Linked DNA regions of Coturnix japonica. The protein of the gene in region 1 purifies or fractionates together with the protein of each later gene. This does not show direct contact. Links are inferred from orthologs where the notes say so. Each region holds a gene or a part of one and is shown on either strand. Other genes may lie near its edges. The genes, in order: DDX41 and RNPS1.

Region 1 (3,905 bases):
GCCGGAGCCACAGGAGCAGGTGCAGGCAGGGGGCCGGCAGCGGAAGAACAAGCGGCAGAGCGGGCAGGTGAAGAAGGGGGATGGTGCTGTGGTGCTCAGCGGCCAGGCCAGGCTGGAGAACTCTGGTGTGAAGGGGCAGGTGCTGGGAACCAAGCACCCTTCGAAGCCCAGCACTGCAGAGCTGCAGCGGGCGGGTGGCTGCACTGAGGTGGAGAGTGGCAAGGGGCAACCCTGGGGCTGCAGCACTGCCAGAGCGGAGAAGGAGAAAAGCAACGATTGGAAAGGGAGGAGGGCTGAGGGCAAAGCTGAGCTGCCGGATCTGGTGCAGCTGCCCACCCCGGCCAATGGGGACCGGCAGCTGCCTCCCCCCGCTGCCCTGGGAGGATCCCCCCAGCCCAAGGGCAAGAGCAGGAAGAACCGCAACAAGGTGGAGAAACCCAATACCTCTATCGGTGAGTGCCAGCAGCTCCGCTCTGCACCTGTGGCCCTTCCCCAGCCCTTGTCCTGTCTGCTGCCAGGTCCTGCCCTGTTGTGTGTGGGGTCCCATCCCTGGCTCTGTCCTGCTGGTTGCAGTGGGTTTTAGGGCTGTTGCCATGTTGTGCTGACCCTGTGCTCTGTGCTCTGCTCTCCAGATGACGTGTTCCTGCCCAAGGACTTGGATGGTGCGGAGATGGACGAAACCGACCGGGAAGTGGAGTATTTCAAGAGGTGAGGAGGCACCTGGTGGTGTTGGGGCTGTGCTGGATGTTGTGGTTGCTGTCACTCACTGTCTCTCTGTTGTGTCCCGGGCAGGTTCTGTTTGGACTCTGCCAAGCAGACGCGGCAGAAGGTGGCTGTGAACTGGACCAACTTCACCCTGAAGAAAACCACTTCCAGCGCAGCGCAGTGAGGTTGCGGGGCCGCCCCCTCCCCATCCCCGCTCCGCTCCTCACTGTGCCCCGTCCCCCCCCGGGTGCCCCCGGTTCTCCTCTATGGGGTTCCTCGTTCGAACACCCCGGTGCTCTCCTGCCCCGCGGGGCCCCCGGGGCTCCCCCCCCATCCAGCTCCTGGTCCCGTCCCGCGGAGCAGCCCCGTGCTGGACCCAATAAAGAACTTTGTAATTTTTTATTTTATTTAACCCCGGCCTCTGCTGCTTTGTTCGCCGGGCGGTTCGCGTTGTGCTGAACGCGTTGTGTCGAACTTTGTCCTCTGTGGGGACCCGTAGGGCAGCTTCTCCCGCGCGGAACGGGCCGACGCCATACTTGTTATATGTCACTTCCGGCTCGCCCGTTTTACATCCGGGTCAGCGGGGCTCCCGGGAGCCATGGAGCCGGGCGCGGAGCGGAAGGTGCAGGCCCGGCCCAGCCCGGCCGCTGACGGCCAGCCCCGGCTCCGCCACCCCCCGCTCACTGTGTGTCCCCCAACAGAGGCAGCGCGAGGAGGCGGCCGATGGATCCGACATGTCGGGGGAGGACGACGAGGACTATGTGCCCTACGTGCCGGTGAAGCAGCGCAAGCAGCAGATGGTAACGGAATAACGGGGTGACGGGGGTCGGGTCCGTCCCGGTGCCGCTCACTCACCGCACGGTTCTCGTCCAGCTGCAGAAGCTGCTGCAGATGCGGCGCAAGGTGGTGGCGGAGGAGGAACAGCGCGACAGCGGCAGCGAACAGCGAGGGGACGAGGATGACATCCCGCTGGGACCGCAATCCAACATCAGCCTGTTGGACCAGCACCAGCACCTCAAGGAGAAGGCCGAGGGTACGGCCGGTATTGGGGGGGCTGAGCTGGGGGCTGGGAGCACCGCGACACTGTGGGGTTGTTTGTTGTTACCTCTGCACAGCACGGAAGGAGTCGGCCAAGGAGAAACAGCTGAAGGAGGAGGAGAAGATCCTGGAGAGCGTGGCAGAGGGACGAGGTGAGAGCTGCCATCACTGTGTGCTCTGTGGGGATGGAGGAGGAGGTGACAGTGAGCATCCTCTGTTAGCAGCCAGCTGCCTGGCTGCGCTGGGGCTGTGCAGCTGCAGGCACCGAGCTCCAACAAGCTGTACCACATGTACTGCCTTGCTCTACTTGCTCTGCTCTCTGTGGGCATGGAGTCAGAGCTTGCACTGATCTTATTGGCTTTGTTTTTGCAGCTTTGATGTCAGTGAAGGAGATGGCGAAAGGCATTACATATGATGATCCGATTAAAACCAGGTGCGCTTTGCAGCGTGGGGGCTGTTTTTCCCAAAATATCACTTCCTTACAGCCGGCAGCAGCTGGGGGCCATACAGCCTGGGAGGAAAGAACTGCTCTGTGAGGCCATACAGCCTGGGCTGTATGTGAGTATGTGAGGCCATACTTCCTTGGCTTCCTGACTGCTTGCTACTCTATGTAAATTAAAAGACTGTGGAGTCACTTTGGATCTTATTACCCATGCAATAAGATTTATGTATGCATCTATGTAAAATGTGAAGGCTTGAGCTCAGTCTTCAGACAAAGAGAACAAGACTGGGAGAGCTCAGGGAGTTTGAGACGGTACCATGGAAATAACAAAGATGGGTCTAAATGATGTTGGCATGTTTTACCCATTATCTGTAGGCTGCTGTTGTCTATTGTATTGATGCTTCATACTTGGACCTTGGGGAGATGTTTGTTGTGTATGACTGGCTTGTGTCTGCTCATGTGCTCATGAAACCCCTTGAGGTCAATGTTTTCCTCTGTGGGATTTCAGAGCCCATTACGGAATTCTCATCTTCCTTTATTGGGTTTGCTGGCTCTGGAGCTCTGGAATGTTTTACACTCTGAACTTCCTCTGTTGATTTCTTAGCTGGAGAGCACCTCGTTACATCCTGGCCATGTCAGAGGCTCGGCACGATCGCGTGCGTAAGAAGTACCACATCCTTGTAGAGGGAGAAGGCATCCCACCTCCCATCAAGAGCTTCAAGGAGATGAAGTTTCCAGCAGGTGGGACCGAGGGTGGATTTTTCTGGGGAGACTCATGTCCAGCAGTGAGTGAAGCTGTTGGATCTGTAATGATCTGTTAGCAGTGTCCCAGCTTAAATTCACAACAGGGATTGTATCAGGTGGTTGCTGACCCAAGGGTCATTGCTCACTGGTCAGAGGGCTGTGGCTGAGAAATGAATTAGAGGGAAAGCAGGTTGTGAGTATGTGTATCCCGTGCTCTTTAACAGCGATCCTGAGGGGACTGAAGAAAAAAGGAATCCAGCAGCCAACACCTATACAGATTCAAGGCATCCCCACAATGTGAGTACTTTGTCCACGTCCCAGATTTAGGCAGTGTTTTTTTTGCTTCCAGCCCCACCCAGTAGCACCAACTGTGTGTTTCCCTCCACCCTCATTCACCCTGCTCAGATCTGGTGCACTGAGCCCTCCTTGTAATGCTCCTGCCCACCACTGGCCTGTTTCTCTGATAGCCTCTCAGGAAGGGATATGATTGGCATTGCCTTCACTGGTTCTGGGAAGACTTTGGTGTTCACCCTTCCAGTTATCATGTTCTGCCTGGAGCAAGAGAAAAGACTGCCATTCTCTAAGCGAGAGGGACCCTATGGACTCATCATCTGTCCTTCTGTGAGTTCTTGTGGGCACAGAGCGTGGGAGGAAGCTCACTGATGTTCAGTGACAGTTTCAGGTGCTCCCTGTGTGGAGAATTGAGGTGTTTTTTCTCTCTGCAGCGAGAGCTGGCCCGGCAGACCCATGGCATCATTGAGTACTACTGTCGCCTGCTGCAGGAAGACAGTCTGCCCCCACTGCGCTGTGCCCTCTGCATTGGGGGAATGTCTGTTAAGGAGCAGATGGAGACAATTAAACAGTGAGAACTTGTGGGGAGGGTCCTGTGGGGCTGAAACCTGGCTCTTTATTTCTAGCAGGGGACTGAGGGGTGGCACGTTAGCTGGGTGGCTGTGGGGAGGTATGGGGTGGAGCT
Region 2 (3,905 bases), on another chromosome or scaffold:
CCCCGCTTCCAGCAGGCCTTGAAAATCTGGAATGATTACCTAGTGCTGGATTTTTTGTTATTTTCTTTAAGACCCAGCAAACTCTTCTTTTTAATTCCCATTAACTCTGTTTCCCCTTCAGAGGTATCCAAAGCAAAACAGGCCTCACTTGTGCCAAATCTCAGTTCTAACCCCTTGCTTCTGAGAAGTGACCCCTAATTGAAAGCAACAGAGCAGCCAAGTGACAAGGTAAGAGTGTTCAGAAACAAGATGAACAGACACAGAAGAGCAGAGCTGCTGTGCACCAGTGGCAGCACACCAGAGGACAAGTGTGTTCTCCAGGGCACTGCAGCCAGGCACAGCACTGCATGGCAGTTACATCCAGCCCCTGGGCCAGCTCAACCTTCATGGAATACAGACCTGTATGCGTGTTTAAAGTTACAAATTGTGATATTCACAGAAGTACAAAAGACCCTCGCTATGTGCTCCCCTTGAAGGCACACAGAGGACATTCATCTCCTACACACGGCACACATGCAGCTCCTGCCTCTTGACAACATCCTCATCTCCAGAGGAAGCTCTGGTTTCTTCCATAGTCACCCTGTGCAGCAAAGCACATGCTTGGCAGGAAGAGATGGCTGCTGAGTAACAATATAGGCTGGTTCATTGAGCAACAGAGATCAGTATATTAGTTTGAGGAGCAATATATTAATTCAGCAAAAGGAATCAATGAGCACTAGTCCTAAAACTCTCCACTTCTGCTTTGCCTGGTGTGTGATCAGCCTTGTTTTCTCTCAATTCCCCTTCATAAGCAGCACTGGAGTCACGACAGACCACTGGTCATTGTATTTCACCAGGGGCAAGGACGCTTTCCTTGGATTTCCACACACGTTGTTTTGGAAGTTGCCCATTATGGCCTAAGAAGCAATGGACGTTTGCAAAATTGGGGAAAACCAGCTCCAGGTGAATCAAAAATGTCAGTGATGGAACTGATGGTGGAAAAATGGGGACAAAGTAAGTGGGCATACAACCAGCAACCACCCTCAGTGTAACTGTGCATGCCCAGAGGAACACGAACATACATTAATGAGTTATTGGAAGAGAATGAACGTGTGTGCCAGTGTGCTGCATGTGTAACTATTAACTGTTTACATGTAAAACCTGAACTCTGACAGCTCAATTCCAAACATTTCCTATGAGAGGGCTGCATCTATCACATACTCTAATGATCACCCAGTTCCACCTCTCTGCAAGATGGGAAGTGAGAGCTCAGAAGCCCAACAAGTGCTTTGCTAATGTCCTGCCTGCTGCTGGAGAGCTGGGAAGAGCTGCATGTAAACAGCACCATCAGCAGCACTCCTGTGTGCACCCACAGGGCTGGCACTTACCAGACTAAACAGCCAAATGCTGCTTACACATCCAGCAACCTCCTGTGAAAGGCTGCTTTTAGGCAGCCCTTAAGGTAACCAGTGTTCTTCTTTCACCCAATGAACACAGACCTTTCCCAGGACAGTTTTAGTTGGAAAGATCAGCCTGGGAGATGCAGCCTCTGGGCACTTTCACTTGTAGGTGCTCAGGCATTCACTAAAACACACCTCCATAAAGAATAACACCGCAGCATGAGCACATTAAAACAACACAAGGAACTTCTAAGCAACATCCACCCTTCCAAGAATGGAAACCAAACCCGACATCCCCAACATCTCAGTGTCTGTGCAGCACCCAGCCCAGCCCAGCCGGCCTCGGGGCACTCTATTAAGCTGCCCATTCCCTGCACACAGTCAGCTATGAGACCTATTCTTACAGAGAGCTGCAGCCAAGGCAACGACCTGGGCTCTCCCTCAGCCTTCCTGCAGGGCAGGCGCGCCCTGCAACGGCAGCTTGTTTATAGTTATATGAACAACAACTATAGCAAAGTTTTCCTCGCGTGATTTAAGGTCAGCCCGCTCGGCAGCTCCTCTCAACGCCCCCGGCCCAGCTCATGGCAGCGCGGGGCCCAGAGCGGCCGGGGCTCAGCCGCTCTCAGGCTGCGGAACGACGCCGGGCACAGCGAGACCCGCGGGTCGCTCCCGACTCGCTGCTCTGCCGCTGCCGGGCGCCGGGACCACCAGGCCCCAACTCCGCTGCAGGCCTCAGCCCCGGCTCCGCCCCGGCCCGGCCTCCCGCCTTCCTCCCCGCCCCCGGTAGGCCGCGGCGCCATCCCTATCCCCCGCGTCCATCCATATCCCCTCCGTCGGCTCCCGCCCGCTCCCCTGGGCAGCCCCGAGATGCGGCGGTGCCGCCCCGAAGCGGCGGCGGGGCGGATGGAGGCGGATGGAGGCGGATGAAAGGCCGATGGCGGCCGATGGCCGCACGGCGCTCAGCCCCAACACACTCACATCCTCGGCGCTCTCAGCGCTCCGGGCCCGGCGCGCGCGATTGGCGCAGAACGAGCGGGAAGAGCGAACGTGTGGCGAGCAGTGATGACGTCACCAGGGGGGAGGAGGGGAGGTGGGCGCCTTAAAGGGGCCGGGCAGGGGATCCATGTTGTCCTGCTGTCACGGTCTGTGGGCGGCCCGTGCCGTTATGGGCACCGCCATGTCCGCCTCATCATGTCCGTGATGGCTCCTGACGAATGGTGACCTTCCCAATGCATAGCTGGCTCTCAGTGTCAGCAGCTGGACGTGAGCCTTTCCCTATTGCTCCAGCAGAGCACAGCAAGGGCTGAACTGGCTCTTAAAGGAAATAAGATCTCAGTGGGTGTGGGTGCAGCTTTGGAATGGCCACCAGCCCCCCAGAGAATACAACAGATGGAGGTTCAGCTGAGATGCTGCATGGGACAGCAGACCAAGTGCCAGCGCTTCTGGGGATGACACTGGGGTGGGAGAAGCGGATTTACGCTCATAGTTAATGATGTTTAATGGGCCACAGCACGAGGGGAAAGCTTTGAGCTCCCACTGCTTTGGGGGGTGTCGTGGTTTTGTACTTGTTGCTGTTGGTAATTCCACATCATGGCTGAGGTGACAGACACTGCACCACGTCCCACTGGTGACATGGGCACTGTGCGCAGCCAAGGCTGCGTGGAGGCGGCCAAGGTGCCACCAGGGACATGGAATGAGTGGGAGGGGACGTGGGGAGGTGAAGCACAGAGGCTCAGGTCAGCAGTTCCAGCAGGCAGGAGGCACTAAGAGCTCAGTGTTTATTGGTTTTGCTCCGATCACGCATGGTTCATACAAGGAACGGGCTGACTCTGCTGTGCACACAGACACGTGCTGCTGGAGGCTGCCTTGGGAAGACTTCCAGGCACCCTGAAGCAAGGCCAGGGTACCCAACTGCCGGTGCCTGGATGGCCATGGGAGGTGTGAGGTTGTTGGCTGTCCCCAGCCTGTGCCAGCACCCAGCTGTGCTGAGCTGTGCTCAGCCGTGTATGTGCTGCAGCAGAGGCATCTCTGAGCTCCTCCCTGTGTTCACAGGATCTTTTCATTTTACTGCTACTTCTACAGCGCAGGCTGCTGCGTGTGCTGCTTCTAAAGCTACTTCCGCAAGCAAGTCTAACATGCACTGCCCTCCTGAAGCTGGAGACTTCCGTGCTGCTTCCAGCAAAGCGCTTTCAGGGCTGCTGGCCTGTCCCTTGTAGGCTGAGAGATGTCAGGCATTTGCTGCTTGGGTGAGGGGTTATGTGCTCATCCGAGGGGCAAGGTGAAGTATTCAGGCTGGAGTTTGCAGCCCCAGTGAGGACACGCTTCCCACCCTTAGGATTAAATGTTGGGCCTTAGGAAGACTGGGTGAGCTGGGGCAGAGCTACAGGAGCTGCAGGCTGTGTGTGCTGCCAGGAGTCTGCCTGGAAGGGCAGCACCACTCACAGGGCGACCCTGGCAGCCATTGTCTGCTTAGAGGCTATTTCCAGCACCTTTATGCTGCTCATCTGCATCCATTCTAGATGAATC

What was found.
Region 2: the proteins of DDX41 (region 1) and RNPS1 purify together in Homo sapiens (co-immunoprecipitation; 3 studies listed by BioGRID and IntAct, with this or other methods). This does not show direct contact. The link is inferred for Coturnix japonica from reciprocal best matches to the Homo sapiens genes DDX41 and RNPS1.

What each region holds. Positions count from the first base shown.
Region 1 is NC_029528.1:11,995,206-11,999,110, reverse strand, and holds the start of DDX41 (probable ATP-dependent RNA helicase DDX41), read left to right. Parts: upstream 1-1,203; 5' UTR 1,204-1,303; coding exon 1,304-1,327; intron 1,328-1,406; coding exon 1,407-1,505; intron 1,506-1,578; coding exon 1,579-1,738; intron 1,739-1,820; coding exon 1,821-1,895; intron 1,896-2,115; coding exon 2,116-2,176; intron 2,177-2,789; coding exon 2,790-2,926; intron 2,927-3,153; coding exon 3,154-3,226; intron 3,227-3,396; coding exon 3,397-3,550; intron 3,551-3,654; coding exon 3,655-3,791; intron 3,792-3,905. Other genes in the region: protein FAM193B, read left to right, coding at 1-452, 633-708, 793-889. UniProt on the Homo sapiens protein: Multifunctional protein that participates in many aspects of cellular RNA metabolism. Plays pivotal roles in innate immune sensing and hematopoietic homeostasis.
Region 2 is NC_029529.1:12,010,407-12,014,311, forward strand, and holds the start of RNPS1 (RNA-binding protein with serine-rich domain 1), read right to left. Parts: upstream 2,543-3,905; 5' UTR 2,360-2,542; coding exon 2,358-2,359; intron 1-2,357. UniProt on the Homo sapiens protein: Part of pre- and post-splicing multiprotein mRNP complexes. Auxiliary component of the splicing-dependent multiprotein exon junction complex (EJC) deposited at splice junction on mRNAs.